Linked DNA regions of Coturnix japonica. Each later gene encodes a partner of the first gene's protein in a complex. Links are inferred from orthologs where the notes say so. Each region holds a gene or a part of one and is shown on either strand. Other genes may lie near its edges.

Evidence for each region.
Region 2: the proteins of TNNC1 (region 1) and TNNT2 are in contact, whole or in part, in a crystal structure (PDB 1J1D), measured with the Homo sapiens proteins. The link is inferred for Coturnix japonica from reciprocal best matches to the Homo sapiens genes TNNC1 and TNNT2. Residues at the interface, in NP_003271.1 of Homo sapiens: Asp99, Phe101, Arg102, Asp105, Ala108, Asp109, Gly110, Tyr111, Arg147, Tyr150, Asp151; in NP_001263274.1 of Homo sapiens: Gln266, Tyr269, Asn272, Val273, Asn276, Arg277, Asp280.

The regions. Positions count from the first base shown.
Region 1 is NC_029527.1:240,589-244,989, reverse strand, and holds the start of TNNC1 (troponin C, slow skeletal and cardiac muscles), read left to right. Parts: upstream 1-1,433; 5' UTR 1,434-1,515; coding exon 1,516-1,539; intron 1,540-4,401. UniProt on the Homo sapiens protein: Troponin is the central regulatory protein of striated muscle contraction. Tn consists of three components: Tn-I which is the inhibitor of actomyosin ATPase, Tn-T which contains the binding site for tropomyosin and Tn-C.
Region 2 is NC_029541.1:1,182,074-1,185,876, reverse strand, and holds part of TNNT2 (troponin T, cardiac muscle), read right to left. Parts: intron 3,530-3,803; coding exon 3,500-3,529; intron 2,835-3,499; coding exon 2,778-2,834; intron 2,657-2,777; coding exon 2,624-2,656; intron 2,177-2,623; coding exon 2,141-2,176; intron 1,893-2,140; coding exon 1,871-1,892; intron 1,547-1,870; coding exon 1,486-1,546; intron 1,381-1,485; coding exon 1,264-1,380; intron 1,006-1,263; coding exon 928-1,005; intron 780-927; coding exon 669-779; intron 446-668; coding exon 336-445; intron 54-335; coding exon 1-53. UniProt on the Homo sapiens protein: Troponin T is the tropomyosin-binding subunit of troponin, the thin filament regulatory complex which confers calcium-sensitivity to striated muscle actomyosin ATPase activity.

The DNA.
Region 1 (4,401 bases):
AATGCGGTGCAGCACAGTAACTGACGGGCAGCACAGTAATGGGTGCAGCGAGCGTGCAGCACAGTAATAGCAGTGCAGCACGAAACGTCACATAAGCGGTGACAGCACAGTAATGCGGCTCAGCCAGTAAAAGCAGTGCAGCACAGTAATGCGGTGCAGCACAGTAATGCGGTGCAGCACAGTAAAGCAGTGCAGCACAGTAATGCGGTGCAGCACAGTTAATTGACGGATGCAGCACAGGAAAAGCGGTGCAAGGCACGAGCTAATTGCTCGGATGCAAGCACAGTAATGCGGTGCAGCACAGTTAAAGCGGTGCGCAGCACAGTAAAGCGAAAGTGCAGCATCAGTAATGCGGTGCAGCACAGTAATGCGGTGGCAGCACAGTAATGCGGTGCAGCACAGTAAGCGGTGCAGCACAGTAAAGCGGTGCAGCACAGTAATGCGGTGCAGCACAGTAATGCGGTGCAGCACAGTAATGCAACACGGCGCCGTGCTGAGCAGTACGGAGCCGTGCAGTGTAGTGCTAACGCAGCACTGTGCAGTGTAGTACTGAGCCGTGCAGTGCAGCGCTGTGCAGGCTACATGGGCACCAAGTTTCTGGGCGCTGGTGCTGTCAGCCGGGCTGCGGGGATGCAGCGGCCTTTGTGCCCCCGCTGTGTCACCGAAGCACTGAACAATCCCCGTCCCAAAGGTCGGCGCAGCCCGGCGGTGCCCGCAGACATTGCAGACATTGCTCCATTGCAGCCTCTGCTGCACATCATTGGGCGGGTGCACAAACCCACCGTGGCTCCGGCCGCCGCTGCCGGGTGCTCAGCGGGTTCGGCCAAATTCCGGCTCGCAGCCTGATTTCTTCAGCCGACAATGGCTTTTATTTGCGGAGTTGAAGCCCAGAGCTGCCCCCATCCGTGCGGCTGTGCTGCCAGCAACACCGAGTCCACCAGAGGGAGCGCTGCACCCCCAGGAGCGCTGCCCGCCCGCGCCGCTCCGGTGTTGGTGCATCTCCCTGCCCCGAACAGCCGCTTGTCGCTGGGGTCGAAGCGCCGCCGGCTCCGATCGTGGGCTGCTCCATCCGCGCGGGGCCGGGCCGCAACTCGCCGCTTCCAGGAGGACGGGAATCCAGCCCAGCGAGCAGCGCCTGGCAGCAACCCGGAGCCGTTCGCAGCCCCGGCCGGACCCTCAATGCTCGGGGGATGCTCCCGGTTGGATGCTCCCGGTTTGCCCCTGCCCGGTGCCGCGCGTTTCCCCCGGCTCCTCCAACTTCGTGGTCCCCGACCCCCGGGGCAGCGGTCGGGCTCCGTCTGACCTGCGTTATTCAGCGCGGCCAAGCGGCCCGTGGCGATGCGGCACGGTGCCACGCAGCCCGGGCACGCGGCGAGGCGCTGTGCGGGGCCGGGCCGTGGTGGGCTGGCGCATCCCGTCACCGGCCGCTGCCCCCTATATCAGTGGGGCCGGCGGGGCGGCGGCGGCACAGCGTGTCAGTGACGCCCCCCGGCCCTTCGCTCTCCCTGCCCAGACATGGATGACATCTATAAGGCGGCGGTGAGTGCCCGCCCGGGGCCGGGATGCTGGGGAGGAAGGGGACGAGGAGCTGCCGGCACCGGGGCCGGGTTACGGGACGCCGGCGGGCGGCTCGGCTGGAGTCGAGTCCCCTCGTCTGCGTGAACGTCCCGGCGCTGCCGTGTCCGAACACGGCGGGGTGGAAGCGGCGGCTGCCGGCTGCGGGCACATCCCGGCACGGCACCGCGTCCCACGGAGCGAACGTGATTCGCGTGGGTTACAGAATGATTGATTTGCACGGCTGAAAGGGGATTAGCGAGAGTTCAACCTCACCCTGTCGCTACCGGAGCTTTAAAATCATAAGCGCCGTTGCTTAAATCCCCCCTTCCTCAGCTGAGTGTTTTTCGATGAGACTTTTCAACTCTCTGCTTTGTGCCGTGTTTCTGCCTGGTCCCTCCGCTGCCCGCAGGAATCCGGGCTGGGACTCGGGCTCTCTGGGAATGCGGAGCATCCGGCAGCTGCGCGCAGCGCTGCCCCGCGCACCCGGAACGCTCCGGTCCATAATAAGCTCAGCGCATCATTCTGTAATTTAGACAGAGCGATATGCGGGTGTGATGGGGATGGAAATAGATTCTGTGTGAATCGCTGCTGTGTGCCCGGAGTTAAAATACACCGTAAGAACTGAAGGGTGACTCTTTTTAGTTGTTTTTAACATAGAGTTGACCGGGTTGAAAAATACGTCCTGCAATGACAACTCCAAGAGGTTCAGAGGGAATAAAGGACTTTGCTTAGTTAAACAAAATGGAGGGAAACGAGATGTTGGCAGCTCTCCCTGTTCCCTGGTCAGCCCTTATAGCTGTGACCCCTCCCGGGATCCGGACAACATGTGAGGGATGGGCTGGGAAGCGCATGACGACGTGCTGAGTGCCCCGAGGAGCATGAGGAAGGGACAAGAGTGCGCCCTGTAAGATCAGTGGAAATCCAGCCCGTATAATGAAGCTTTTTAGCTAGTTATGTTCCCTCATGGAGCAGGTCCTTGCTGTACTGTTTAGGGACTTCATGCATTAATTATGAAGAAAGCCTGGGGTGCCTTTCCACCCCAAAGTGAGCAAAAATCCACAGTGAAGGTCATCTCTAGCTGAAGCCTGTAGGTTTCAACCCGAGCCTCCTCCATCTGATAGCCCAAGCAGTGTCCTTGACCTGAGGAATAAGTTGGTGGGCTCTGACAGGGAGCTGCCAGCGCAAAAGCAAAAGGAGAAGAGGCAGAACATGGCTGTAATTGATAGCTGCTTCATGAGTCTGTTCCCGAGATTTTAACTGTAGGAAAATATCTGGCAAAATAAATAAATAAGATCTGAAACTTTTCGTGCCTGACTTCAAATGGAAATATGGGATGGAGAAAAGAGCAGAAAAAGCAAAATCCTGTGTGCTGGGTGTCTGCCTTCCCAGAGCGCAGCAGGACAAACCATTCCCAGGCTGGAGGCAGAGGAGAAAAAAGGAGAAAGCTGTGAACTGTGTCTGTGACCAGGGGCACAATAAACAGCTTGGGAAAAGCCGTGTAGTAAAAGCATCGCTGTGTGGTTCGGTTCCATCCAGCACAGCTCCACATCCATAGTGCTGTACAAAGCCAACATGCAGTAGTTAGAAAAGCCTTGGAAGTAAGGATTTGTTATTTGCTGCGTATATTGATGGCAGCAAACCTACAGGGGTATATACCAACATTATATCCATGTCGAATTCCCTCGGTGCAGCCGCAGAACCCAGTGGGCCTTTGTCTCACCCACTCATGTCTAGATAAGGGTGTGCAGGCACAAAGCTATTTCAGGAGCATTTTTCAGTTCTGTTGAGCGGTGCAGAGTGTTGCCAGGGACAAGTGTCAGAATAACAGGCTGCGGGGCCGCATACCAAAGGCCTGGGAACAATCACAGGGCTCATCTTTATCTCCGGCACCTCCCTCATCAGGGCTTATTAATAGCGAACGCTGCCAGGGGGTCAGGTTACCCAATGGACTGTGGCCATCGGCTGAGCTGCCCAAATGATGCCTGCTCAGGGCTTGGGGTTCTTCCTGCTGCTTTTGCTTCTCACCCCACAAAGGCTCCACAGGGAGCTCAGTGCTGCTCCCTTCCCAGTTCCTGCTAAGATAAAGCACTTTCCCTGCTTTCCAAGTTGTTGTTTGCCAAATCACTGCTTTTTGGGTGGAAAACCATCGGCCTCGCCTCCAAGACAGAGTACTGCTGGGCTGAGGGGTTCTGCTTCAACCCAAACACGGTGGGAGTGGGTGTGGGGGTGTCAGAGACAGCGTGGGAGGAGCATGTAATTGTAAGGGATGTTACTGAAGGGACAGGTGGATGCAGCGCTGGGGCACTGACAAAGCCCATGGCATGGCGGTGTGCTCCAAGGGGATCCGAAAGAAATTCACTCCAGGAGGTTCTGGTGGATTCCTCTTTGCTCTCCTCATCAATTGTCATTAATTGCTGCTAATTGATAAGCTCCCACCGGTGGATGGCAGGGGTAGGAGTGGGTAGATGAGCTGGGTAGGACTTGGGAGCAGTCTGCCAGCTCAACTCATCCAGCTCTGGGCGGCTGCAGGGACCATTTCTTCCAGCTGCTCCCATCTGCCTCAGTTTGCTTCCAGTTCCAGTGCCCAGGTTCAGGGAATGACGGTGACTGCAGCCTGCTGCTCCTCATGCACCATAACCTGTCTGTGGCATGTCCCCATTGCACTGAGGTGATACACTGACCAAAGAATTTACATGAATATTCAGGGTGAAGGAAAACAGGATGAGGGGAATAGAGGCAGAACCTTATAAGAGCAAATTCTGATTTTGGTAGCCAAGACCTTGATGCTTATGATTGTTTATTGAATCTGGGGCTGAAAACAACTGGGGATGGTCTTGGCCATGG
Region 2 (3,803 bases), on another chromosome or scaffold:
ATTTCTCAGCCTCCAGGTCACGGATGGTTTGCCACAGCTCCTTGGCTTTGTCCCTATGGGAACAGATGGATGATGTCAGTGTGGAAGAGGGATGAAAGGGACGGGGCAGCAACGCCAGCCCCTCCGAGGCAGGAACCATCCACGGGTGTTGCTGGGCAGTCCCACGTGTGTGTCTCGCTGTGGGGACACGCGTGTCCCACGTCTGTGAGCGTGGCTCCCTCTGATGGCCGCCGCTGTCACCCGCAGCCAGGCACAGCCACGGATATGGCACATCCCCGTTCGCTCCTCCTGCAGCATCCCTACCTGTCATGGTTTTGTTAACCCGTGACACCTACCTCAGCTTGTCTTCATTGAGGTGGTCGATGTTCAGGGGCTTCCGCCGCTCGCTGAGGATCTTTTTCTTCTTCTCCCGCTCCGTTTGCTTCTTGCCACCCTTTTTCTCTGACTGCACAAACAATTGGAGCCCATCAGAGGGAAGGAACCTGCCCGGCCTCAGCTCCCATCCCCAGCTCTTCCTCCCAGCAGCACCCTTTGCTTTTGGGATGCCCCCAGCACGTTCCTGTCCTCTCCAGCTCATAGGAACCCCTCTCTGCAGCACCATGTGATCCTGTAGGACCTGCTTGTGGTCTAACCCCCCTGCAACTGCAACCCCATGTACAGGCTCACACCTTCTGCATGTAGCCTCCGAAATGCAGCATGTTGGAGAAAGCTTTCTTTTTCCTTGCTTCTTCCTCAGCCTTCTTCCGTGCCTCCTCTTCCTCTTTGCGAGCTCTTTCCTCCTGCCAGGGATAAGAGCGGGTCAGGAGTGGAGACCTTGTGGAGCAACGTGCACAGTTCGTGTGCCTGTGTGCCCCATGGATGGGATTGTGTGGAGTGGTGGTGGTGGGCAATGTGCTGCAGGGAGCCCCCAGCCCTGAGGGTACTCACAGCCATGCGGGCCTGGCGCTCCTTCTCCCTCTCACTGCGGATGCGCTGCTGCTCTGCCCTCTCTGCCCTCCGCTGCTCCTGCAGAGAGAGAAGACCGTGGTTGGGATGTCTCAGGACATTCCCTTTGTTCTTTGAGACCCCTAATGACCCAAAAGCCCCAGGGACAGGTTTTATGCTCCCACATCTCCATATGGAATGGCTATTACAGCAGATTCCCAACCCCTGGGCACCAAAATAGGTTCAAATCCCAATCATTCTCTGGCAGGGACATGGTATATCCTGATGTGGAGAGCATTGTGGCTGTTTGCCCACGGAGAGGATGGACTGCCCACATACAATCCTGTCTTTGAGAGAGATGAGCTCCTCTTCTTCCTTCTTCCTGCTCTCAAAATGGGCTTCAATGAGGGCCTGCAGCTCATTCAGGTCCTTCTCCATGCGCTTGCGATGGATGTCCTGTACCAGAAAGAAATGAAGATGATGGCTGTGCTCACAACACTGAAACCCTCTGAGAGCTGCTGGATGCAGCAACACCGCGATACTGCTGTTAGATGCACTCACATCGAAATCCAGGCGCTCGCCATCGGGGATTTTAGGAGGCACCAGGTTGGGCATGAAGGGCCTGAAAGGTGAGTGGGAGGTTGGGAGCAGGTTGCTGGAATGGGGCAGGGCTCCCACGCATACACTGCTCTGCCCAGCCCTCCTCTTTGAGCCCCACAGCACACAGAGATGAGTGCTTGTGGAGGACAGGGAAGAATCCCATGTTTTTCTGTCTGCTTTTCTCTCTTCACTCCATGTTTTAGTCCCTGCCCCGCTTTCATGCTTTTAGGGCTTTGCTGTCCCATGTCCCTTATGGATCTCACTGTGGCACGAAGCTACAATGAGAGCCATAGAGGAACACCTCCTAGTTCAAACCTTACAACAAAGAAAATGCACCAACACTTACTTGGGTTTGGGCTTTGATTCACCTGTGGGTCCCCAGAAACAGGAGAGAAAGGCATTGTTAGTGGCATACTTTGACCCCAAACCCCATGAAACCCAGCCACTCCTTCCTCCCAGCAGCACAGGCACATCTTCTTCCACCAAAGCAACACAGTGAGGTGTCCATCTGTGTGCCAGCATCTGAGACATGCATTGATGCTCTGGCCATTCAGGGTATGTACTGTGAAGGGACAGTGCCTCCTACCCCAAAGGGAAGCAGGGATGGATGCCTCACCTTCCCCAGGCTCCTGCTCCCGGTCCCCCTCACCACCTGTGGAATACGGGATGTGTTGGCCATGGAGGGATCATAAGGCTCCCCCAGCACTGTTTGTCCCCACCACAAAGCCCAGGATGGATACAGGGAGGGCAGGTCCCTCACCCCCAGGTGGATGGGGAGAACCCCAGGTCCTCTCCAAGGGGAGCCCATATGATCTTTGCAGGAGTTCAGGCTGGGAAGGCACCAGCGCTGCCTTCTTGTTCCATTTCCCGGGGTGAATTTCTTACCTAAGCAGCATGAATACATCCCTCCTGGAGGTCTCCTACTGCCCCTGCCCTGCTAGAGGATGGGGCCAGGGTAGCTCTGCCCCATTTACTGCAGATTGGCTCCTTTCAGCAGCAGCTGAATTCAAAATTCAGTACTGAAAACCCCATGGCATGGAGATGGTGATATAGGAGACTGAAATGACCAAAAAATGTCTTTCCTCCGCTCTTGCTTTACCTTCTCCCGGTGCTTTTGTTTCATCTTCTTGTTCTGTCTCAAAAGTAAGGGGGAAAGTGTGACCAGAGCATCCACAGGTGAGGACCACTACACGTCTCTTACACTCTGTATTGTGGCCACCAGGTGTGACAGCACTGGGACACAGACCACACACCTTCTGCTGTGGTTTCTTCTGTCTCCCCTTCCTCCTCCTCTACCTGGTCCTCCTGACCTGTGCAACAAGGACAGGGTCAGTGGAATGGCCACAGCTCCTGCTGGCTCCCTACAGACCCCCAGAATGGGACAACCATGGCACTGAGTCCAGGAGACCCAAAGGAGGGGGAGCTATGTGAGAAAGAAGCAGAAAGTAAAGGGCTTTATTCAGGCCCTTACCCAAAGGTAAGGCATGGATGAGGGGGGATAAAATCCAAGGGCTCAGATCCCCCTCCTGGTTTTGCCCCTTGTTTCCCTCCCCAGCTGTGCCCTGAGATGCCAGAGCTGAGGAGATGGACTTCTGTTGCTCTCCTCCATGCAGCAAAGAAGGAAACTGTATGGCAGAAACCTCATGCATGACACTGTTGGAGCATTTTTCCACTGGAGGGAGCAGTACCCCCACGAGAGTCCTCCGTCAGAGCCCACAGGTCCTGTGGGACAGGTGTGGTCCCACAGCAAGAGAGGAAGAAAGGAAAAGAAGAGAGCAACCCATGGGTATGTTGGGATGGAAGACAGAAATGAGAGCAGGTCGGCACAGTAGGATGGAGAGAGTGCAAAAAGCAGCAGAGAAGTGAAAGAAGGAAAGAAATCCATTTCCCAACCATGGAAAGGCACAGGACACACCGACCCACGATACATTCACAGCAGAGGTGGATAGGAAACAAAGAAAGGTGTAGTAACTACCGTCTTCTTCCTCAAGCCATTCTTCCTCTTCTGAGCCAGGGAGGAGGGAAGGGAAGAAGCGCAGAGGTTAGTCAGGTGCCTTAAAGCTGTGGGGCAGAGCTCCGGTGTGCATGAGGTGAGGACTCTGACCCTTTTAGCTCTCAGGATGTGTTGCTGTGTGGCAGCCCTGCATCAGCAGGAGCCCCAGCATACCCCAGTTCCCATGCCCACCCCGTACAGACAGGCCCCATTGCTGCAGCATGAGGTTTGGTCCTGCACCGTGCTGATGGTGGTCAGAGGTTCTGCCTGAGCATCGTTAATAAGC